Linked DNA regions of Neurospora crassa OR74A. The protein of the gene in region 1 interacts with the protein of each later gene in a pairwise test. Links are inferred from orthologs where the notes say so. Each region holds a gene or a part of one and is shown in the gene's direction. Other genes may lie near its edges.

Region 1 (4,158 bases):
TGGCCGGCCTTCTTGTCATGTCCAATATCTATAACATTCCACATCTTCGCCTCCTTTGCGTAAATAGATTGGCGAAGGAGCTTGACGTGGATCACGCATGTATCATCTGGTACTGCGCCGGCATGGCGAATGAAGAGTGGCTGCGGAAACGGGCTGCCACCTTCTGTATGACGCACTGGGGCAGGGTTGTACGCACGCTCGGTTTCCAGAGGCTTCCTCGGGCGGCTCTGGTGGAGCTCTCGCAGGAAGTTGATATGGAAGGCCGTGTGGTTGGCGGTGACGAGCTTGATTTGATGGTGGGGATCGATGGTCGTTACCACGACGGAGGGTCTGGCTCGTCACGGCGTAAAGGGAGCATTAGTAGCAACCATACGCAAGTGCTTGAAAGCGAGCTTGATGAAGACGAGGGCATGGAGATGTCATGAACAGCTAGGTTCCGCTTTCTGTCACGGCAGAGGATGTCTTTTCACCTCGTCGTTATTCTCCTCGTCATTAGATTTGTTCCATACACAAGCACGGACTGGAAAGAGTGGCTAGTTGGACAAAAGGGCGGGCCTTTAGCACGACGGGAATCGGCACTGAAGGGGTCGCAGGCCCGCTAGATGTGTTAGGTCCCTAGTCAGGACTTTGGGTTGAGGTATGACCGATGTGATGGATAGGATAGGTTGGGCAGACTTGGCTTTTCGTGCGATGAGCTTCTCGGCCATCCTTTAGTAAGGAGGCATTCAGGAAACCCAATGGGATCGGGGAAAGATGCTTACTATTCCACAGAGGCATTGCAAAGGCGTTGGCGTAATTGATGGGTATTCATTGTTAGCGTGCATGTAAGACTGGTCGTTTCTCCTTTCTGTCCTACGGCTAGTAGTGTCCATATTGGCAATCCGAACTATTATTCGGACATTCATACGCACTGATCTGAATTTGAGGTTGGCTTGTTGATTAGGTCTTGAAAGAGAACAGCATCGAGCAATTACAAAACAACCGACCTTGGTTGCAACCTGCCAGAATCATCGATATACCGCACCCCCTGAACTTGGAAGTTGGCGAGCTTAATACGTTGACGTGCAAGCATTTCTCAATCCACCATGTTAAGGAACAATTATACTGCGTACATCCACGTTTTCCTTTATCACAGCTTACATCATGCTGATGTTCGTGGAGTGCAGACTGCAGAGTCGTAAAAGACGAGCACGATGCCCAGCATGCAGCTGACCATGCTGGGTCGGTACCTACCTACCATACATAAAGTGTCCATGCAGGCAGTGTTACCCGCTAAAATGTTGCCGAGGTTCACAAGCCGTCCGAAAGCGATAAAAGCAACAGGAGTGGTCGCTCCCGGACTGACGTTCTCCACCTTTCCGCTGCTACGACATCGTCCCCTCCTGTCAATGCTCGATCCCCTCCCCATAGTGGTCTAGGAAAAGTCGACATTTTTATACCCGAAGGGCCCAAAAAGAAGTCGAGAATAAGACTACGATAAATTATCCTCTGATGCCACGCCCGCTGACTCTACTTATTGGCCCTGATCTACTCGCACACACTCTCTCGCGCTCCCCTTCCCTGAACGAATTTACGCGAGGAAGCCGCCAAACCGGGATCCTCAGCTAAGCCCAGCGCCCTCGCCACTGCGGCAACTCTTTGCCAGCCCAGGCGCTCAGCCAGCTCCCAGCAGCAAAGTGCAGCGGTCCTGACGCTTGTCGCATCGCACGCATTCTGTCCCATCGCTTAAGACTGACGACTGGACCATCCCTAACTAGGCGGCCACCAGTAAACCCCCCTTGTTTTCGTCTTCTCCCTTTACCGGTCCATCGAAGTCATTCCTCGAGCACTACCACCGGCCATCAACGGCGGAGGATCAGATAATCCACACACAATCGCCATGGCATCCCCCCCGAAACCGTGGGAAAGACAAGGCGCGACGTCTGGCGCATCGGGTATGTTTTTTTTCCCGTTCACCATTCCATGTGCGCCCGACAAGCAGGGCACTGACATTGAATCCGCAATGACACAGCGCCCGCACCAGCAGCCTCTTCGGCCGCGACGCCATCACCAGAGTCAAACACGACAACAACAACATCAGGCTCAACCCCGGCCATCCCCGCGAGACCTGCCAGTCTGACCGCCTCCGTCAACCAAAATGCCGCCAACTACAGCAGACCAATGGGCGCGATGGGTACATCACCATACGGGGTCGGCGTAGGCTCGTACGGCACAACATACGGCTCTTCATACGGCTCAGCATACTCGTCGCCCTATTCCAGCCCCTATTCCAGGTATGGGGGTATGGGCGGATACGGCAGTTCAATGTACGGCGGTTACGGCGGGTCGATGTACGGCGGTGGCATGTACGGCGGCGGCGGCATGTATGGAGGAGGTATGGGTGGCATGCCGGGCGATCCCAACAACCCGGAAAGTTTGACCAACCGCTTCAACATGAGTACGATGGCCACATTCCAGATGCTGGAAGGCATTGTCGGCGCATTCGGAGGTTTTGCACAAATGCTTGAGAGCACTTATATGGCGACACACTCGAGTTTCTTTGGTAGGTTATATCATCCTACATGCCCACCTCCAGTCAGGCGCAACTGATATACTAACATCAGCTCAGCCATGGTTGCTGTCGCAGAGCAGTTTGGCAATCTTCGCCAAACCCTAGGCTCCATTCTGGGCATCTTCACTATTATGCGCTGGATTAGGACAGTGTTCGCCAAGATCACCGGCAAGCCTCTACCAGCCGATGTCTCCAGCCTCAATCCAGCCTCTTTTGCCATGTTTGATGGACGCGGGAAGGGCGGTGCTGCAGCGGCTGCCGGTGGTGCCGCCGGTGCCATGCCCAAGCCCAGCCGAAAGCCCCTCATCTTCTTCGTTCTCGCTGCCTTCGGTCTGCCCTACGTGATGAGCAGGGTGATCAAGTCGCTGGCCTCCAACGCTGAGGAAGAGGAAAAGAAGCGCCAGCTCGTTGTCGCGCAACAACAAACCATCGACCCGACCAAGCTTGAGTTCTGCCGCGTCCTGTACGACTTCTCGCCCGCCACGCAGGGGAATGGCGAGATCGTCCCGGGCGTAGACCTTGAAGTTCACAAGGGTGATCTGGTTGCCGTTCTCAGCAAGAGCGATCCTCTCGGCCAGCCTAGCGAGTGGTGGAAGTGTCGCGCCCGCGACGGAAGAATTGGCTATCTACCGGCCACCTTCCTCGAGGTACTTAAGAAGCCAGGTCAGCCTGTTGCAGCTATTGCTGGGGCCCCATCCATCAGCATTGACGGCGACACGAGGGCCAACTCGCTGAGCAGCATCCTCAGCGACGCGGATAAGAAAGTGCTGGTTCCGGCCCTACCGGCGGCCAAGGCTAGCGATATTAGCGTCGAGAGTTTCCAGAAGTCGCAGTTCTTTTCTTAGGGAGGCAAGGAACGCAGGCGGAATGATCTCAGCAAAATGCACATCGAGACGTCGCGGTTCATGCCACGCTCTTCTCGGCTTCGACACTCGGTCTCATTCTCTTAATACACGCCTGATCGTGCGAGCTCTGGATCTACCATGTGCAAAGCGCCGGCCTCCTGGGAGTGGCCCAACACCCAATGGCCATCTAATCGGCTTTCCTCTCCAACACAACAATCAGACACAATAGCAAATCAAATCAAAATCGGATTCTCCTTGATTCGGATTCGCCCAGCCTGGTGGAAATGACCACACTTTCCTACCAGGAAAAAATCACCAAGCAGCTACGTAGAGGCACACGAGAGCGCGGTGAGATAATCAGTCGGAGCATTTCCGGAAGTTTTCGAACTCGTCGGAAGGGTGTAAGACGTCACCAAACAAGCATGCATGCCCACAACGGTCAGTTACGGCATTATCATTATTAAGAGAATGACAAACACTCTCACATCTTTATACACCTGCATGACACGATTATTGCGTGGGTAAACGTCTTTTCACCATAAGTCAATACCCGAGCGAGCCAAAAGGGAGATATAGACACAGAGGACGGCCATGGTAAATGGATGAATGGATGCATGGAGTAAGCGGAAGCGGCGAACGCTGAAAGACATGGACGCACGAGGTGTGAAATCGAAAGGGGGGATGAAGGGAAGTGATAGGCGATGTGAGGCGGTGACCACACCGATGGCACAGGGATGGAACGAAGCGTGGCTAATTAGCCTA
Region 2 (3,893 bases), on another chromosome or scaffold:
CGGCTCGCGGACCAAGATAAGTCAACTGGTCGCTGTGCCAGCCGACATTCTGTTCCGGGCCATCGTACAAATTCACAAACGCCGCATTGGGCGACCAACGGTCGGGGGACTGGTACTTGAGTTTTTTACCGCCGTACAGGTGATGAGTCCGGATGCGCTTCTGGATCTCGGTATTAACGGCGTCCTGCACCAACGGCCGCACTGTTTCCAGCTGAGGTGTCAGGCGGCGGATATCGGAGAGGCGCGCGCCGTTGTAGAAGTAGGCCGATTTTTGCTCGGCCAGCTCGTAATCGCTCCCGACAAAGAAGCAGGATGTGTGGGGGCTAGAGACTACGTTATCGAAGAGCTTGAACGTGGCTTTGCCGAAGGTCTTGGCTTCTTCCAAGAGTTCTACCAAGAGGCTGTTGGCGACCGAAGGGGGGAGGAAGTTGTGGATGACGGTGCAAGGGGTGTGGGTGCTGATGTCGGAGGGGTCGTAGAGATGGAGTGTTGCGCCTTTCCGGGAAAGGAGCTTGGGTTTCTTGGGGATAATACTAGCACCGCCATGGTCGCCATCGCCGGTGGTAGATGGAACGGCGAAAGAGCGTAAAGAAGCCTGTGAAATAATACCTGACGACTTCTTCTTGGCTATCTGCCCTGCGCCCTGGGCACTTTTCAAAGCCTCCGTGGTGGCTTCCACGGATCCATCGTGGGTGATTAGAAGATCCAGTAACGCATCATGACCGAAGTCTGGATGCAATGAAGCAAGTATGGCCAGTTTGATATCGGTTGATTCTCCATCGCCATCCGGAGTGTTGTCAATGGGATTATTGAAGGCGGTGATAGTCTGCTTTATTTGCGTGGTGTCCACGTTTTCCTCCAGCGTCAACTCGGCTTTCCTCTTCCCCCTCGTTATGAACCTGTCCATTGCCACGGCTTAGAGGAAGGAGTACAAAATCTCGACATGTTGGAGTGTCTGTTACCATGGCCGGGTTCACGCTGGTTAGATGCGCGTGGGATGAAAGATGAACATGGATTTGTATTTTCAGACGCGTCCTTGTTACGAAGAGGAAGGAGGGGGACGTGATTGAAAGTGGCCAAACACGCGCTGTCACGGGGACACGTCGGTACTTATTTCTAGTGTGCACTATATTTTACGTATCCTGGGGCGACGTCATGGGTAGGCGCTATCCCTTAGAGAGTTAGCGAGCACATCCATCCATGCTGTGGGGCTCACGCCGTTACGGCCCGGGGCTTCCACGCCCGCGGCAGGGGCAACGTGCCGACCAGATATGGATTGGATGCCAGGCGGGCTTCCGGGGTACCCCACTAATATCCAGATGTAAGCTGACAAGCCGAGGCTTTCCCCACGGCGTTGTCGCTGTTTGGCGTTCTTCAATTAGTTTCCAACCAGCTTTCCATCCCGTCACAGTAAGTTCTGCCAACACCTACACCCGACGCCCGTTTCAAACCCTACCGATACGTCCAAGCCGTCGCCGTCATTTCCAGGTGCAACGCCTCATCTCGCGACCGTCGCTGGCAGATTCATTAGGCTGTCAACCACTCACGTCGGCTAAGAGGTCGTGCGCCCATTGCAACGCCAACCTTTTTACAGAGACCTCCTGATGGGCAGCACATGACAAGCCCACGTTTCTCGACATGGCGTCCATGCTGGAATTTCGTACCCCGGGCTACAATCCTTACGCCGTCAAGTACTCCCCATACTACGACTCACGCCTTGCTGTCGCCACTGCCGCCAACTATGGCATCGTCGGCAACGGTCGCCTCTTCTGCCTGGGCCTGAGCGCAGCCGGCGTCCAGTGCGAAAAGACCTTTGAGACAAACGATGCCCAATACGATCTTGCCTGGTCGGAGCTCAACGAGAATCAGCTCATTGTCGCTTGCGGCGATGGCTCCATCAAGCTCTTCGACCTGGGGGTGGAGAACTTCCCTGTCATGAACTTTCACGAACACAAGCGGGAAACGTTTTCGGTTTGCTGGAATCCCGTCACCAAGGACAGCTTCATCTCGAGTTCCTGGGATGGCACCGTCAAAGTTGTATGTGCTCATCTCTTGTGTTCCTCCCACCCACCATCGTAGCATCATGGCCGATCGACTTGCGCGCTGGCTTACAATCCTCCTACTCTGTCTTCAGTGGTCTCCCACGCGCAACGCCTCCCTCAAGACCCTCCCCATTGGTTGCTGCACCTACAGCACCTCCTACTGCCCCTCGAACGCCGCCCTCGTCTCCGCCGTCTCCGCCGACTCTTCCCTGCGCATCTTCGACCTACGCACGCCCGTATCGGCCAAGTACCACCTGACCAACGTGATCCCCGTGCACGCGCCGGCCACGGGCGGGTCAGGTTACTCGCGCCTTGCCGACGGCTCCATCTACTCGGGCACGGTGCCGAACGAAGTCCTGACGCACGACTGGAACAAATATAACGACACGGTGATCGCCACGGCGGGCGTCGATCGCGTCATACGCACGTTTGATATCCGCAACCCGGCCGGCGGTCCCCTGGCGCTCATGACAGGCCACGAGTACGCGGTCCGCCGCGTTGCATGGAGCCCGCACGCCAGCGACATCTTGGTGAGCGCCAGCTACGACATGAGCGTGCGCGTGTGGACGGACGGATCCACTATGCCGCAGCACGTTCAGCCACCGGTACCGAGCGGGCGCCAGCCTGACACTGTCCGTGCGGGAACTCAGTTGGGCCTTATGAACAGGCATACTGAGTTTGTTACGGGCGTGGATTGGTGTTTGTTCGGTGCAGGCGGTTGGTGCGCGTCGGCCGGCTGGGACGAGAGAGTGCTACTCTGGGATGCTGCGTCCCTGTTGCGTGGATGAAGAAGCAGGTTGTTTGAAAGAGGTGGAAAAACGTATTTGAGTTGATTGGTCTTTGAGTGGATTGCTCAGGCAAATTTACGTGGCAAACTGCCTGATAGTAAAGGAGTAGAAGATATGAGGGCAAAATCAAGACCGATCGACTATCGGCTGCTGAGAATCATTGCATGCACAAAAGCGCCCCCTCAGTTGCGCAGCGATACCCCGGGGAGTTTGTACGTCTAGAAGCCGACATTATACGAACAGAACAGACATGGTGACAGCGGACAGGAGATTTGACCAAACGTGTTCCTTGGCTGGAGCTTACGAAAGTAGGAAATAAATCGGTACAGGAATTGGGTTAAATTGACCGTCCCGACGCGAGAGTCGGTCAGTACGAGAGAAGGGGCGGGAAAGAGACAGAACATAATTGTATAAGGCATCTAGAGGATTAGAAGAACAGTATACCATGATTCGAGATGATGGTAAGCTCAAATTTCTACCCTTAGTATCGCTATGCGTTGAGACGTGTGGTACCAGTGTATTAAAGGAATGCAGTCAACTTGAGTATACATATTTGTCCATGACTATCTCTCTTGAGTATTACCGATACAGCTGGTGTCTCACCATCCCAGTTTGTGCTGTAACATCCAATTTCTTCCATTTGGCTTGGATCTTCTCAATCTTATCTCTTGCACCCCTTCCACTTATAGAATTTCTCGAGGGGTTCCCCAATATGGCTACAGACTCAACATCCTCGGAAATTCACGTCCACTTTGGCTTTCCGCCTCCCTCCCTCCTAATCCCAATAGCCCTGATCAATGGTTCAAATAGTACCACGCCTACCACGCACAAGATCGAGTTCCACACCTGAATGGCATACCACACCCACGCTCCCGGACTCGAGAACACAAATTTGAGCCAGTCATTCACCTGGTAAAAGTCTTCCTGCTTGGTGATTAGGTACCGCTTGCTGTTGTTGCCTCCATTGAAACCGTCGACTAGAGTCTCTGCTTCCTCGCTTGCTCGAGCAGAAGCCACGGGGGCGTTCTCAACAGCAACAGGGTTGCTTGGGTTGGGCGGGTGA
Region 3 (3,786 bases), on another chromosome or scaffold:
CCGTGTATGGCAGTAGACTTGGGTCGACGGTAGTGCTTGGTGGTTGTACTGGTACTGGTGCGGGTGCTGGTGCGGGTGCGGGTGCTGGTGCTGGTGCTGGTGGTGCTGCACTTCTTGGTGGCTGCTGCTGCTGCTGCTGCGGGTGACGACTTTGTGAATGTTGACTTTGTGGATACGGTAGTAGTGGTGGTGGTGCCGGTTGCTGAAATTGCTGATATTGTTGGTGTAGATGGTGTAGATGGTGCAGATGATGATGTGGATGTTGATGTTGACCACCACCACCGCTCTTTGGTGGTGTTGCTGGTGGTGGTGGTGGTGGTGGTGGTGGCGGTGATGCCGACCCCTTTCTTCCTTCTTGACCACCGGCCATAGTATTTTCTTGCTCCTCTTGGGATGCTAACGAAACAACAACGACTTCAGATGTCTTTACTGGGCGATGATAAGTACGGATGGTCATCTTTTATCTCCGTGAGCGACGAGACGAGACGATAAGACGGGAAGGGAAGGGAAATAAGAATGATAAGATTGTGGCTTGCAGGTCCGGTGTTTCACTGTGCCGTCCGTAATGGGATGCGCGGCAGGGAAGGGCGGTTGTAGATTGCCGTTAGTAGAGGTAGTGTAGTCTCGTAGTGTGTATGTAGGTAGACGGGAGGGAGGTAGGTAGTTGCCTTGGTCGGTGTTGGTTAGTATCGATGTACCACACACACACAGGAACCGGCAATAAGTCAAAACAGGGAAGTAGTAGGTAATTTATCAATGTAGTGTTACCGGCGGTACAAGTAGTAGGTAGTAGTAGTAGGTATGTGTAAAAGAGCGGGATGGAAACAACACCGACAACGGATGCCCGACAACTCGACGGAATCGAACCAAAGCAAAAGAGGAGAGGGGGGTATCCATGCCTGCCGTGACTACCTAGCATAGTAGCAGTAGTCTACACTACACATCACAGGCACAGGGGGGGATGATTGGGGATGAATGGGCAAATGGGGTAAACTGGCGGGCATCCGTTGCAACCCATTTCTTGGGGTACATGAATGACCTGACAGCCTCGGCTACCTGGCAAGGTCCAAATGGCGGCGGCGGCAAGCAAAAGCAAGCAAGCAACTACACTAGACAGCGACGGGAGCACCCACAGGCCTCCACTGCGCTGCCCGACTTTCAGCTGTCCACTCACAGTGCTACCAAGTGCCACTTTTGATGCGTCGCGGCATCCACTCCTTGGCCCCGGTCTGAGTCCCCCCCCCCTTGTTCGAACTTCCAGGAGGTCGAGGTCCAGGTCCATCTCGCCCCGTTTCTTTCAATTCATCCCAATTATATCGTGAACTTGACTTGACATCAACAAATCCATCGATGGAAACCACGACGGCGATATAATACTAGTAAAACGTCACACCGACCCCCTATCACTACGCGCGACACTGGAACATACCGAAAGAGGAACCTCGAACTCACCCCCTCTCGATACAACCGGCGGGAGCCTATCCCATCCCATCCCATCCCGCCCCCGATAACCACCAGACCGTAACAATACCCAACCGGGCACCGTCGCAACAACCATGGAATTCGTCACCGCCCTCCGCGGCACCTTCGACGACGGCAAGCCCTCCCTCTTCGAGCTTCTCTCGGAACAACAACTCGCCTCCCTCCTCCCGCCCACCCTCCGCTACCTCCTCACCGTGCTCACCCACCGCTACCCGCGCCACCTGCTGCGCATCCTCAACTCCTTTGACGAGCTGTACGCCCTCGCGGGGCTGCTCGTCGAGCGCCACTACCTCAAAACCCGCGGCGGCAGCTTCACCGAGCACTTTTACGGCCTCAAGCGCGAAAAGGCGCTGGCCGCCGAGATCCCGCGCGCGGCCTCTTCGGCGCCCAACCTCGTCCGCGACGCCCTCAAGCTCTCCGATGTCGACATCTGGAAGAACCTGGCCGTCATGGTCGGGATCCCCTACCTGAAACGCAAGCTGGACGAGGCCTACGAGATCGATGCGCCGCGCGCCATGTTGGGCGGCCAGTACACGCGGCCGCCGGCAAAGGGGGCCCCGATGAAGGAGCGGTTCTTGTATTACTACCGCTGGTTTCTACGTAAAGTGTACCCGAGCTTGAACGCGGCGTATTACTTTGCCATCTTGGCGTTTAACCTGGGGTATCTGTTTGACAACACAAAGTACCATAACCCGTTTTTGTGGCTGATCGGGACGCGCGTGCGGCGGATGAACGGGGCGGATTATCAGGCGATTGAGGCTCTAGAGAAGGCAGCGGGGGCCGCCGCCGCTACCTCCAGATTAACAGGGGGGTCGATGTTCAGTCCGAGGAATATGAGTCGAAGGCTGATGGGCGGTCTGTCGCTGGTGCTGCCGACGAGTATTTTTGCGCTCAAGTTCCTTGAGTGGTGGTACGCTTCGGATTTCGCCAAGCAGCTGAGTCGCAAGGCGGCGGAAAGCCTGGATCTGCCGCCGCCGACGGTGACGGGGCTGGTGGAGGCGCAAGCGAGGAATAAGCCTAAACCCAAGATCACGAGGACGTCGGAGGATGGTGTGGAGGAGAAGGCGGATGAGGATGATGAGGCAGAGGAGGAGGCTAGCAGCAAGGAACCAACGCCCGAGACGGCGCCTATAGCGGCTTCGACGCTGTTGCCGATTTTCACGGTGCCACCACCCAAGAGATCTGATATGTGCCCTATTTGCGAGGACGAGATCCAGACGCCGGCGGCGTGTCAGACGGGTGTGGTCTATTGCTTTTCGTGCATACACAAGTGGATGAGCGGGACCCATGTCAGGCAGGAGAAGTTCATGACGAAAGAGCGCGAGGGCAAGTGGGAGAGCGGAGAGGGGAGATGTGCCGTCACAGGAAGGAAAGTGCTGGGAGGGACGGAAGGGCTGAGGCGGATCATGGTTTAGCCGGAAAGAAGATATTGAGGATGATGGATTGGCATGAGTTGTGAAAAGCGAACATTAGACATTATTTAATGGTGGCATATAATCTGGCAAGTTGCATAACCAACATACCGCAAACGAACATGTAAAACTGGACATGCTTACTGGTCAGACAATCAGATTCCTCTATCACCTCGTGGTCGATGAAATGTCAACAGCCATCTTCTTTTTTTTTCTGTACTGCCAAACCGGATGGTTCACGTACGAACAACACGAAGCTCATGCAAGAAAAAAAAAAAAAAAAAGGGGGGGGGGGATCAGAATGTCTATCAACACCGTTTCAGTAACTCGATTAATCTACCTGTACGTACTTCGCGAATCCAAAAAGGCAAAAGAAAGATGCGGTTTGTGTGGATCGAACACACGACCTTCAGATTTATGAGTGAAGTGGACTTCAGTCTGACGCTCTCCCAACTGAGCTAAACCCGCTTTGTTGTTGGACTCTAAGTGCCAAACCTTAACTCATATGGTAGCACCTACCACTTTGCCTGCCATGTTGACCAAATTCGCAATGAAAATGGAATTTCCCATCTTCCTGTATGTCTGTCTACGTCTTGCTTGACGATAATTTCTTTCAGATTACTAGCTAGTCAATTATTTGCCGTGATGAGAAGCGCTATCTAGTGTAGTTGATTTTACTTCAAACCCTGTAGCAAGTGGATGGCGATGTGATAGAGTTCGGTAGGTAGGTAGGTAGGTATTATTGCGATGCTTCTCATTGTATAACCATATACATACGACCACCAGTGAATATTCTGCCTTTCTCTGCCTGAAGAACGCTGTCTTGACTAGGTAGCTGTCTATGGAGAGAAAAAGAGAGAAAACAAAGGGGTAATGGAAATGGAAATGCATA
Region 4 (3,826 bases), about 2.2 Mb from region 1:
ACGGATGATCGGGAGAATTGCGTTCCTGTGCCCCAGCAAAGAGGGTGAGATCCCAATCCTTGGCAACGTCCCAGTAAAAGCTGTAGAGTGAGTTGAGCAGACACGCAACAATCCATGCACGGTACAGGCTCGTAGTTGGGGTACCGCTGGTGTTTGCGTTACGCAACATGGCGTTTAGAATGATAACAGGAAACGCGGTCGAGTACTTGGCCGCGTTGGCGAGATGTTGTCCACCCCAGCCCGTGGACTCCTTGAAAGGGGAATTTCGCACGCGCAGATATTCGATAAGACACTGGCGCAGCCGAATAGCGCTTGGTATCGTCAGGAGAAGTGGTACGAGATAGGTGCCGCCGCAGCTGCGATCGGGTCGGTCAGTAGCAGACCCATTCCGCGTGAAGAACATGCAGAGACATATGAACAGGTCCCCAAGGACCTTGGCGTAGCTGGTGAGAACATCAGCCAGCAAGATATCCCCAAACTTTCCATCCTTGGCCTCAGCCAAACCTCCCACACTGACGCGGCGCAGAGTTGCGAGTAGTCGACGTCGACCGGAGTGCGAAACAGACAGTCTTCGCAGGGGTAGCACGAAGAGGGCTGCGGTCACTGCCAAGTTGGTCATGGGAATCCAGTCATAGTCGATAACGCGTTTTGGATCGCGCCTGGTAAACGACCAAAATGTGAGAATCGAAACAGCGGAGCTTAGCGAAAGAAGAGTCGCAAGACGGTATGTCGAGTGGTGGTGAGGGAGCTGGGTTGGGCTCGATCTTCCTGGGTACCGGATTAAGGAGGGGACGTCGATCTTGCGATTATGGAGGAAGTGAAGGTTGAGGCCCCAGCCCCAAACAGCTAATCAACCAGAGATAGTCAGTTTACAACCGTGTATCCAGAGAGCAAACATACGGTAGGAAACTTGTATATACATACCTATGATCACGATGAAGGCAACCCGGTAGGGAAGGGGAAAGGTCAAGCTGAAGGAGTCGAGCTCCGGCTCAACCACGGGATCACCGTCCATTGCGCCAGGCAGCGGTCAATTTGCTGTCCGTCATGGAATGCGGAGAGGGAGAAGTAACAGTTGGACGCAAAGAAGAGTTGATAGGCTTGGGATCAAATTCCCAGCAGTAACGCGTTTGGAGTTTGTCAAGTGTCAAGATGGAAATTTTAATTTCATCTGTATTGTGGTAGCTGTCGCAAAGACACCGGAGTTGCCAAGCCCCTGTCGCGTGCACTCTTTTTGGCTTAGGGAGAAGACCCGACGTCAGTGCAACCCCTGGTCGCGGCCCCGTCCTGTGACAACCCGCTGCATCATCCCTGCCGCTAAAGCCTGGGCTACGACGTTCTGGGCACCCCCCTGCCAATTCCTCAGCTCGCTCCTTGTGAGGAGGAACCACGCCTGGGGCGGCGCCGGGCGTGCTGCCCCCATTAACCCCAAGGACCGAGGTCCATCCGTTCCCGACTACCACTTTCATCTCAGCTTCAACTGCCGCCTGTCGATCTCGAAACATCAAACAACAACTCGGATAATTTCAGATCGAAAAGACTTAATCATCCACTGCCACAGCTTCGACGATTCGACTGTAGGCATACGAGCTCTCCTAGGGTTCGAGAGTTCCCCCTGAATACGTCGACCGTGTAAACACAGCTTTTGACCCCCCCGACTTCGAGCCCACCCGACCCGACCCAAACGACGACATCAATTACCATGTCATTGACGGCCACCAAGAAGCCTCCTCCGCCGCTCACGAGCTCGCCATATCCATTCGCTGCAGCCCCCGACATTATCCGCGCGCATCAAAAAGATGCCTATTTCCAGGGCGTCCTCACTAACCAGCTGACCGACCTTCACCGGCGCGTTCGCGGTGCCCGCTCCGCCCACTCCTGGGCCACCGAAACCCGTACGGCTGCCGACCTGCTCTACCTATGCCTCACCACCCTCCTCGGCAACCGCACCTTAGGCGAGGAGTACTGCGACCTAGTCCAAGTCGAAGAGCCGAGTACGGGCGGCAACGGCAGGATACCAGACACCCAAAGCCCCGTCGAGCCCAGCAGCGAAGCCGGTGGCCCCCGTCTGCCCTCGCTCCAGCGACGAGCCGGCTACATCGTTAGTAGCGTTCTTGTCCCCTACCTTTTCAGCCGCCTGCTGCCCTCCATCCGCGCCGCGCTCCGCAAGCGCCTCCAGGACCGTCTCACCGTGCTTGCCCGCCAGGGCCGCGGCGACACCAAGGGCGCCACCCCATCTACCTCCAACAACAAGGGCGGTGGTTTCTCCACAGTGTCAACGCTTGAGTACCGCGTGAAGCGCTACCTGCTCACACACCTGACTTCCATCACCAGCGGCGCGCACCTGCACGCCTTGACGCTGGCCGTATTCTACTTTTCGGGTGCTTACTACTCTTTCTCCAAGCGCCTCTTCGGGCTGCGTTATGTGTTCACGCGGCGCATCGAGGAGGGTCAAGGCGGTCGCGCGGGCTATGAAGTGCTCGGCGTGCTGCTGGTGGTGCAGATGCTCGTCCGGGGATACCTGCATGTGACGGCGCAGCTGTCGTCAACTTCGCCGCTTAGTGCCGAGGAGGCCAGTACCGAGGCGAGCATTCGGGAGCGCGCCTTTGGGCCGGGCGCTGCGGGCACACTGGATGTGTCGTTAGATGAGAATGCCTATAGCAGCAATAACGAGTTGCTGGTGGAGACGGGCAAGTCGGGTAACCAGCGTAGTTTGGCGGAGATTGGACGGACGACGCACACCCCTGTGCCCAAGGGCGGGAGGGCGAACTACGACTTGGCGGCGAATGAGGAGGTCATGGGCTGGATCAAGGGGAGACAGCAGAGGATGTGCACGCTTTGCTTGGAAGAGCTGAAGGACCCGGCGGCGACCCAGTGCGGACATGTCTTCTGCTGGTCGTGTATTGGAGACTGGGTGCGCGAGAAGCCTGAGTGTCCGTTGTGCAGACGTGAGACGATGGTACAGCATATTCTGCCATTGAGGGTTGCTTAGAGCAGTCCTTTTCTGGCGGTCGGGGGGGACAAAATACTTAATATACGGGAGATATGACAAAAAGCAGGAGTCTTACAACGTCCTCTCGAGAACAGATTTTGGGTAGTATTTGCACATGACAAGGAGCGAACAGTCAACAACTGCGGTTTAGGGATAATTGTATATGCAGCAAGCATATTGCCAGGAGAGAGAGCCTGTTTTCGTACATAGCCTAATGATTGAATGATCCGACATATTCTCAAAAGGTCAGGAACTTTTGACAAGCTAATGCACATATGTTCAAGTATGAAATTGAATTATTCCTTGTCCGATATTAATATTTGGTATTTACTCTACAAAAACTTCTCTTGCTTGATTAATATCGAGTCTCGTCCCGTTTGGGTCTTAATCAAGACCCGAGCAACCTCGACATAGGTCCAAAGGGTCATGAAATACATACACGAGGTGCGAAAGAGAAAATATGACACCTCAATGAAAGCCTCAAGTTCCGACCCATCTTCAAGCATCAAGCCACCAAGGTCGTGGTTGTCGTACTTGTGCTTCGCTGTCCCCCAACAGCTCGTAATCGTGGACGCTTTCGCGTCATCAAGATCGTGGGCACATCATATGCCTCCCCTTCAACAGAAAGACCCATTTACCGTATGGAATGAGGAGAGAGCGACGGCGCGGATTTCGTTGTCGAATCGAGCTATTTCTTTTCGGGGTCTCCTGAGGAAACCCTTTGGATGAATTCTGCGATGGCTTCAAAGTAGCCTTCTTCGAGGACACTCGAGTTATGGTCGCCGTTGGGAAGAGGCTTCCAGATCTTTATCGGAGCGTTGGAGAGATGATAAA
Region 5 (3,985 bases), about 5.6 Mb from region 1:
ATCGAGCAAGAAAGAGACTCATGAGAAGAACTCGGATTTTGGCATTGGACTTGCTATTCTCTTCGTTGCCCAGAGCTTATCGGCTGTCATGGGCCTTTACACGGAAGAAACTTACAAGAAATATGGCCCGCACTGGAAGGAGAACCTCTTCTATTCGCATCTCCTGTCCTTGCCCCTGTTTCTGTTTTTCTGGCCGTCGTTGAAGACGCAATTTAAGAAACTGGCCAACAGCGCGCCCTTGACTCTACCGCTGCCGGACTTTGAAGAGTACCCCAATCTGTCGCCCAACATCCAGAAGTTCCTGGAGAATATTCACATTCCCAGTCAACTGTTCTATCTGGCGCTAAACGTCCTGACCCAGTATGCTTGCATCCGCGGAGTCAATCTTTTGGCAGCAGCCTCGACTGCATTGACAGTCACGATCGTCCTCAATATCCGGAAGCTTGTCAGTCTGCTACTGAGCATATGGCTGTTCGGGAACAAGCTGGCGTTTGGAACCTTGGTGGGAGCCGTGATAGTGTTCGGCGCTGGCGGGCTGTACTCGCTGGACGGGAAGAAGAAGGCTCCGGTCCGGAGGGTCTCGTCCGCGCCGCTCAAAAAGGCATGATCCGTTTGAGGGTTGATTTGTTGTGACGGTGGAAATTTAGTTGATACTTCGATAGCAGCCGGGATAACCGTGTCCGACTGACAGTTTGGAATGAAACTCGGATTCTGCACCGATCCTCCTAGGGCTCGAAGTCTGCTTTTAGGTAATAGTTTGACTGTTTGTTGCCGGAAGTGACCGAGAATAAGGGCCGGAACCGCCCTGTTGATAAATCTTCAGGGGTCTGTCTCCAGGAGCCACCTTGCGCCCTTGCAGCGGTAGGGTCAGAATGCAAGCAGTTCCTTTTTACGGGCGGTCCTTCTGTCAGGCGCAGTGGGTGCAGAAATGGGGCCGAAAGAGACCGCAGGGAGCTCGTTAGTGGTCCATCGACGGGAGACACCCCTGCAACTCTGCAAGAGCCTTATGGTGGGGTTGCGATGCGTCATCCGACGCGGCAGATGGAAGATCCCGTTCGCTTCTTGGTGCCCGTGGTTTTGGTAACCAAGAGTTTAAACCACCTTTGTGTGGCAGGGCAGTTATAGGCCTATCTCCGTATCGGACTATCAGTCTTGATCAGAGTTTGGAGGGGTTTTGGTCTGGGCGTTCGATTCTGATAGTCATTCTTCCTCTGTAGTCCTCTCTCTAGATTTGAACCCAACATAAACCTAAACACTACACCAAAGAACAGCACCAACTGACACAAGCCAAGTTCGGTACCTTGTCAAAAGGTCGTCACCCGTCGTATACGTCGGACAACAAGCAAACAGGTAAAACTGTGACTGTGCCCAAAGACGACAACGGCCAATCGTTGTTTGGGGCTTCCATCCAGCGGGCAGAATTTGCAAATCTGCCCCTCGCTGTCATCACCTTCCTTCCGCTGTGTACACCCGAATACAGCAGCAACTATTCACCTTCTCTTTGCGCTTTTAGACTGCTACTATGTGTGGTGGTAAGTTGCAGGAACCACAGCGTCCCCCGCAATGATCCCGTCCTTGACCAATGTGCTCTTCAATGCCTCCATGATCGTGGTCTGATGATCTCCTGCTAGGACCCTCCCCATACGCGCGCGACACCCAGTCGTCAAGCCCGACGTCTCCCAGCTTCGCGGCTAGCCACCTACCGGCTCGCGATTCCGACGACGAAGAGTACAATGCTCATGAAACGAGTGACACAGAGTTCGACAACACCATCGAGCATGACCACCTTGGCAGCAGGCCTGGCAGCGCTGGTAGCCACGGCGACCTGGCCAACAACGGGAACCACTCGACAGACGCAGAGATTGAAGAGGGCATGCTTCTCAGAGATATGCCCAAAAAGACGACATTCTACGACGCCGTAACCGAGCGCCAGATGACTCAGACAGACGCCAAGCTGTTCTATCAACGGAGCCAGGTCGAGAGAAACCAGATTCCTACAGACGGCCACGCTACTCCCACTGGCAGCCCATTCATCGCGCCAGGCCACGGTCACGGCACTGTAACAAGGCAAATCCCTACGGACTCTTCCCAGAGCGCCATCCTGTCTCCCGAGTCCACGATGGGCACTGGGCTTAAGGCCGGCCCTGCCAATGATCCTTTGATCGAGGCCTCGCTCCGGCAAAAGATGCCGCGACTGTCTGGCAGCTACAGTCATACTCGGACTGTCACCGGCAGCTCGCCATTGCCGGGGAGGATGAACCAGGCTGCTCAGCGGGAGACGTTGCTGAACACCGGCATGGTCTCTGGTATTGGAAGCAGTACTTATATGGACACAGACCCTCAGATCACTGCGGAGCTTACTGGCATCTTTCAGGGCGTTCAGAAGATCATTGATCTTCGGCAAAAGTACATCAATCTGTCCCTCCAAGGGCCGCATGATAACCCTAAGGATGATCCTAACTGGGTCATCTATCCTCCTCCCCCGGGCCCGGCTTGGAGCGCCGGAAACAGCCTAGCGAACAGCATGATACTGAATAACGACAAACACGAAGGGTCCTCTGGCACCCCATACAAGTGGACGGGCAAGAGGCGCAAACCTGGGCAGGATATTGGCGAAGATTTTGTGCTTGAGGACTTGTTGCCTGTGCCTGGTCCGGATGACTTTACGTATAAACTGGATGAAAATGGTGTTTACCAGATCTACAGCAACGACCAGCACAAAGAGGCCGATCAGCCAGCTATCAAGATCCCAACCTTGAGGGAGTATTACTTGGATCTGGAAGCCATCCTGTCCGTCTCCTCGGACGGACCTAGCAAGAGCTTTGCCTTCAGACGTCTTCAGTACCTCGAGAAGCGGTTCGACCTTTATGTGCTTTTGGAAGGATACGATGAGACGGCCGACTGCAAGAAGGTGCCCCATCGTGATTTCTATAACGTCAGAAAGGTTGACACCCACGTTCACCACTCGGCCTGCATGAACCAGAAGCATCTCTTGCGTTTTATCAAGAGTAAGATCAAGAAGTATCCGGACGAGATTGTGCTTTACAGAGATGGCAAGTACTTGACGCTAGCGGAGGTATTCGAGAGTCTCAACCTCACAGCGTACGATCTCAGTATCGACACGCTGGATATGCATGCTCACACGGATTCGTTCCACCGCTTCGACAAGTTCAACCTCAAGTATAACCCAATCGGCGAGTCGCGTTTGCGTACCATCTTCCTCAAGACCGATAACTTTATCAACGGACGCTACCTGGCCGAAATCACCAAGGAAGTCATTGCGGATCTGGAGTCTAGCAAATACCAGATGGTTGAGTGGCGTGTGTCTATTTACGGCAAGTCCCTCGATGAGTGGGACAAGCTTGCCAGCTGGGTTGTCGACAACAAGCTGTTCTCTCACAACGTCCGCTGGCTCGTCCAGATTCCTCGCCTTTACGATGTCTACAAAGCTAGTGGCGGCGTAAACACGTTTGAGGAAATTGTCAGGAACATCTTCGAGCCCTTGTTCGAGGTCACTAAGGATCCCTCCAGCCACCCCAAGCTGCACATCTTCCTGCAGAGAGTCATTGGTTTGGACAGTGTCGACGATGAAAGCAAGGTCGAGCGACGACTGTTCAGGAAGTTCCCCGTCCCTAAGATTTGGGACGGCAAGCAGAACCCTCCTTACAGCTACTGGATCTATTACCTGTATGCGAACATGGCCTCGCTTAACCATTGGCGCAAGAGGCGTGGGTTCAACACTTTTGTCCTCCGTCCCCATTGCGGTGAAGCGGGTGACAGCGAGCATCTTGCCGTCGCTGCTCTGTGCTGCCACAGCATCAGCCACGGTCTTCTCTTGCGCAAGGTTCCTGTCTTGCAATACGTCTTTTACCTTGAAAAAATTGGTATTGCCATGTCGCCATTGAGCAACAACGCGTTGTTCTTGGCATACGAGAGAAACCCGATGCACCAATACTTCAAGCGTGGCCTCAACGTGTCGCTCTCC
Region 6 (4,073 bases), on another chromosome or scaffold:
AATGGTTTCCCGTTTTCAAAAAGTTCAATTATGCGAATACATAGCACGGTCCTATCGCGCCGAGCTTGAACACGCGAGGAGCATGAGCACCTCCCACCTCACTGTGCGCAGGAGGAGGGGTTGTCCCGGCCGTGATTGACGCGGGCAAGCAGAGATTGCGGCTGTGTTGTATGTAGATAGAGGTACTGTACTGACTGTCGAACAGAGACCACAGAACACCGCAGAGGTTGCACGCAGACTCGTTCTCCAAGATGCCAGGCCAGATCAGGATCGGAACCTGGAATGCCCTCGAGTTGACGTCTACATTGGAATCGAATCAAGCTGACGGCGTCAAGCAAGGTCCAGAGCGGGTGTTGGAAGCAACCTCGACGACATGATGCCAAAGTCAAGAGGAAACGAGGGGAAAAGGTTGAAGAGGTGGTGGCGCCCTGGTCCCTGTCAGTCTCCCGTGCAGAGTGTCCCCGCCATCGCCGTTCCGTTGCCGCCGGCGGTTGAACAAAAAAGTGGGCAGGTGAACTGATGGAACTTGAAGCCTCTCACAGGCGCCTTTTCGTGGTGTTGTAGTGGTAGCAGTGGCAGCAGTGGTCGAAAGTGGCTCTCTTCAACTGCAATGGCACTGCACCAGGCAGTCTAGGTAGTCCCACTCTCCCGTCCCCCACCCGTCCCCACCTGCCCTGTCTGGCAGAGGGGACGGGACTGAGATGTAGAACTAGAGGTAGGTAGTGTAGTGTAGTGTAGACTTCAGTTGCTTCCCAGAAGGCCGGACACACTCCCGCTGTCTGTCTAGAAGCCGAAAAGTGCATGTGCTGCCCTCTTGTTGTGCGGTGCAGTGTGCAGATGCAGCAAGCAACAGCCGCCCGACAGCAGTCACGAAGCATTCGAAGGGAATAGGTAGACCTAAGACCGACACAACCTCAATCATAGTATGCTTCCCTGAACTTTGCGTCCGGGCTTCCTTGTCTCCAATTCTCATTTGGCATCTGCAGGCCGAGTGTCCCCGCCCCGCCCGCCGTCCGACCGTCAGCAACACCGGACGACAGCCAGACAACTTCAGACGACAGCAGCAGTAGCAGCCCAGCAGTAGCAGCCCAGCAGTAGCAGGAGCAGCAGCAGCATCGCCGCGCATAGCCGACACCCGTCCGCCATCTTGGGTTCACTCATTTGAGCCCGGCCAACAATAAGTCGATAACGAGTTTGACGAGATTCGTAAAATTCGACAACCCACAAACTGTCAACGGCCACACATCGACACCGACTCGTACAAAGTTGGACCACCATTGGACACACCCTGCCCAAAGCAAGCAATCCCCCGCGCCGCCCAACCAGTCACCCACTTTATCCAAGTCATCCAATCCCTCTCCAGTCTGCGCACTTGTAGCACCAGCACCATACTGCTTGGACTATGCCCGACCTTGCCCTGCTCAATCATCAATTGGGTGCCGTCCACAAGCTAACGTCTGCTCACCACTCTCAAAAGGTAGCCGGACCCTGACCTTCTGATAAGCATACTAAAAAGCTTCGAGATCCATCAAAAATAAATCGTCATTCAAATAGTCTAGAGAAAACAAGCGGAAAAGTGAAAAGCGCCAGCCTAGTCCGAGTTCCCACACAGCAGTAACAACAGAAAGCATCACCCCTTCTTCAACGTACCCAGTCCCCGCCAAACCCAGCATCGCCGGCGGTCCGGGGTCTGTCTTTTTTTCCTACCTTGTACCTTCAACTTGTACACAATCCCACCACAAACCAAAGCGCAATTTTCGACCGGCATCAAGCTTCCAGGATCCCGTCCCCCTTCAATTGTCGACTTTTTTGCTCTTGTCCGTTCTGTGTCTGTGATTCTGGCCTGCCAACTTATCCCGCCCGCCTCAATAACTGCTGCCACCCCCCCAATTCCCGTCTCTTCTCCCAAGTCTCGCCTTCTTTTGGTTGACCCGGCCCCCAGCCAAACCGTCCGCCAGTACCGTACGTTGAACATCTTCCTTGTCTTTTCTTATTCTTAGTTACCCCATCTCGTAGCCCTCGTGCCCTTCCCTACGCTAGGGTTGGGTTTCTCTCGCAGTGACCATGGACGGCCAGCTCTCCCTCCTCTCGCCCACCTCGTCCTCCTCCACTTCGCATAGTCGCAAAAGACTCACAAAGAAGCAACGCCCGCCATCCGCAAATCACCGCACTAGCTCCTCTTTCAATGTCGAATCGCTCCGTATTGACGCCCAATCTCTAGACAGCAAACGGAGCGCCTCCAGCCTGCGCCAGGGCCCCAACTGCAACCAAAGCCCATCTCTGGCCAGGACCGTATCCGTCCCAGTCTCCGTCCCTTCAAACGCGCCCGCCCACACCAAAGCCAGCGACCTCTCTCTGCCACGCTCCCACACCACTCGCTCTCAATCCGCAAATCGCCCTTACAATCCGACGCAGACAATACCAACCAACCGCTTTATCCTCTCGCCGGCCTCATCGTCGCAACCCCAAACTCAATCGCCGCCTTATCCCAGCGCTGTTGCCAGCACCACCGTTACTAGCTCCAGGAACAAGGACACATCCAAGCAGTACGACCCACTAGACTCCTGCATTGGATCCTTCGATCAAAACAAATTATCCACGGATGAACTGATTGGCGCTCCATTCGACGGCAACGCCATTCTCAGTCGAATCGAGGCAACAAAATTATCAGCCGCGCCCGCGCCCACGTCCACGACCACGATTGCGCACTCCAACAACATTTCTCCTCGTCGTGTCGCTCCTCCTCCTCCTCCTCCCCCGCCTGCTCTATCGCGCTCAAACACGGACTCCAAGGCTGCGAGATCTTCAAAACCGTCAAAGTCGCCCAAATCCACCATATCAAACAAGACCATGGGCGCATCTTCATTCCGCCACTCGGCGAGTTTCTCGTCGGCTGAACAACTTCCGCCAAGCGAAAAGCCGTCCAAGTCAGAGAGCAGCTCTTCGAGTAACAAGAGACACTCCGGTGATGGTAAAGAGTCCAGGGTGCCCGGTATGCTAAGGAAGAAGTCGGGCTTCTCCGGCTTCATGAACAGCTTAGTTGGGTCTCCGAAAAAGCCATTGATTTCGGCGCCAGAGAACCCCGTTCACGTCACACACGTCGGATATGATAGCAATACTGGCCAGTTCACGGTATGTTGCCATGCCATGTCAACTAGTCTGAATGTTATGGATGGACTAATACGTTGATAGGGTTTGCCAAAAGAGTGGCAGCGTTTGATAAGCGAGAGTGGAATCACTGAGAAGGACAGAAGAGAACACCCACAAATACTGGTCGATGTCCTCACATTTTACAAGGAGACAACCGAGAAGCCACAGGAAGATCAACAGCTAGAGAAGTTCCACGATGCACGAGCGACAGATTTTCGCAGCCCGCCCGTGACCGGCACCGCTCCGCTCGTACTGCAAACAGGCGTTGGCTACGCTCATGGTCCCATGTCGCCAATGATTAGTCCACCCGCTAGTCCTAGGTTTCCTCAAGTTGGTCATGAGGGCAGCTTTGAGAACCCCCGTGCGCCGCCGCCGGTTCCCAAGGGCCCTGGCCCTCTTCCAGCAAAGGATATCAACTTGATCCCCAGCAGACCGGCACCGAAGCCACCAGCAATATCCACACGACCGCTGGTGCCGCCAGCCTCATTGCCAGCCAAGGATTCAGGAATTGGCATGCCACCGCCCGGTGATGAGGCTCCGATGCCGTACCTCCCTCCCAAGGATAATGTCCAGCATATGTACCAGGAGGAGCACAGGAACAGGTCCAGATCGAATTCCCGGACAAACGGCGCTGCCCCGTTCTCTCCCGTGCAGGCGTCCCCACTGCATCCGATCGCCACGGCGAACCAGACTGCGGCTTATCAGCAGCAATTGTTGCAACACCAGCAAGAACAGGCCATGGCCCAAGCCCAGGCAGCAATGAGCGGTCAACTGAGCCGAGCTGCAAGCAAGAGACAACAACCAACTCCGCCCACCTCACAACACCAACACCCCCGGCAGCCAGACATCAATGGGGCTCCTCGTATGCCACAGACTCAGGGGGCGGCTCCCCAAGCTAGCGCGAGACCCCGTCACAGACCGCG

What was found.
Region 2: the proteins of pex13 (region 1) and pex7 interact in a two-hybrid assay, tested with the Saccharomyces cerevisiae proteins (2 studies listed by BioGRID). The link is inferred for Neurospora crassa OR74A from reciprocal best matches to the Saccharomyces cerevisiae genes PEX13 and PEX7.
Region 3: the proteins of pex13 (region 1) and pex12 interact in binary tests that used the Saccharomyces cerevisiae proteins (3 or more experiments, as listed by UniProt). The link is inferred for Neurospora crassa OR74A from reciprocal best matches to the Saccharomyces cerevisiae genes PEX13 and PEX12.
Region 4: the proteins of pex13 (region 1) and pex10 interact in binary tests that used the Saccharomyces cerevisiae proteins (3 or more experiments, as listed by UniProt). The link is inferred for Neurospora crassa OR74A from reciprocal best matches to the Saccharomyces cerevisiae genes PEX13 and PEX10.
Region 5: the proteins of pex13 (region 1) and NCU02979 interact in a two-hybrid assay, tested with the Saccharomyces cerevisiae proteins (2 studies listed by BioGRID). The link is inferred for Neurospora crassa OR74A from reciprocal best matches to the Saccharomyces cerevisiae genes PEX13 and AMD1.
Region 6: the proteins of pex13 (region 1) and stk-4 interact in binary tests that used the Saccharomyces cerevisiae proteins (3 or more experiments, as listed by UniProt). The link is inferred for Neurospora crassa OR74A from reciprocal best matches to the Saccharomyces cerevisiae genes PEX13 and STE20.

What each region holds. Positions count from the first base shown.
Region 1 is NC_026501.1:2,931,090-2,935,247, forward strand, and holds the start of pex13 (peroxisomal membrane protein), read left to right. Parts: upstream 1-1,358; 5' UTR 1,359-1,879; coding exon 1,880-1,934; intron 1,935-2,011; coding exon 2,012-2,542; intron 2,543-2,608; coding exon 2,609-3,396; 3' UTR 3,397-4,158. Other genes in the region: NCU02617 (kelch repeat-containing protein), read left to right, coding at 1-425. UniProt on the Saccharomyces cerevisiae protein: Component of the PEX13-PEX14 docking complex, a translocon channel that specifically mediates the import of peroxisomal cargo proteins bound to PEX5 or PEX21 receptors.
Region 2 is NC_026504.1:2,328,885-2,332,777, forward strand, and holds pex7 (peroxisome biogenesis factor 7), read left to right. Parts: upstream 1-1,334; 5' UTR 1,335-1,638; coding exon 1,639-2,037; intron 2,038-2,134; coding exon 2,135-2,830; 3' UTR 2,831-3,393; downstream 3,394-3,893. Other genes in the region: NCU07663 (GRF zinc finger domain-containing protein), read right to left, coding at 1-907; NCU07661 (hypothetical protein), read right to left, coding at 3,572-3,893. UniProt on the Saccharomyces cerevisiae protein: Receptor required for the peroxisomal import of proteins containing a C-terminal PTS2-type peroxisomal targeting signal, such as 3-oxoacyl-CoA thiolase. Specifically binds to cargo proteins containing a PTS2 peroxisomal targeting signal in the cytosol.
Region 3 is NC_026504.1:5,625,390-5,629,175, reverse strand, and holds pex12 (peroxisome assembly protein 12), read left to right. Parts: upstream 1-1,231; 5' UTR 1,232-1,556; coding exon 1,557-2,897; 3' UTR 2,898-3,286; downstream 3,287-3,786. Other genes in the region: NCU05244 (thioesterase), read right to left, coding at 1-457. UniProt on the Saccharomyces cerevisiae protein: Component of a retrotranslocation channel required for peroxisome organization by mediating export of the PEX5 receptor from peroxisomes to the cytosol, thereby promoting PEX5 recycling.
Region 4 is NC_026501.1:5,159,126-5,162,951, reverse strand, and holds pex10 (RING-1), read left to right. Parts: upstream 1-1,429; 5' UTR 1,430-1,702; coding exon 1,703-2,992; 3' UTR 2,993-3,326; downstream 3,327-3,826. Other genes in the region: NCU03278 (protein-ER retention protein), read right to left, coding at 1-846, 925-1,015; bem46 family protein, read right to left, coding at 3,681-3,826. UniProt on the Saccharomyces cerevisiae protein: E3 ubiquitin-protein ligase component of a retrotranslocation channel required for peroxisome organization by mediating export of the PEX5 receptor from peroxisomes to the cytosol, thereby promoting PEX5 recycling.
Region 5 is NC_026501.1:8,514,715-8,518,699, forward strand, and holds the start of NCU02979 (AMP deaminase), read left to right. Parts: upstream 1-1,185; 5' UTR 1,186-1,522; coding exon 1,523-1,532; intron 1,533-1,631; coding exon 1,632-3,985. Other genes in the region: NCU02980 (UPD-GlcNAc transporter), read left to right, coding at 1-607. UniProt on the Saccharomyces cerevisiae protein: AMP deaminase plays a critical role in energy metabolism.
Region 6 is NC_026506.1:2,078,811-2,082,883, reverse strand, and holds the start of stk-4 (serine/threonine-protein kinase ste-20, variant 1), read left to right. Parts: upstream 1-1,273; 5' UTR 1,274-1,297; intron 1,298-1,404; exon of another isoform or gene 1,405-1,481; 5' UTR 1,482-2,064; coding exon 2,065-3,132; intron 3,133-3,192; coding exon 3,193-4,073. Other genes in the region: NCU03895 (hypothetical protein), read right to left, coding at 29-300, 670-709, 1,060-1,146. UniProt on the Saccharomyces cerevisiae protein: MAP4K component of the MAPK pathway required for the mating pheromone response, haploid invasive growth and diploid pseudohyphal development. Links the pheromone response G-protein beta gamma subunits to downstream signaling components.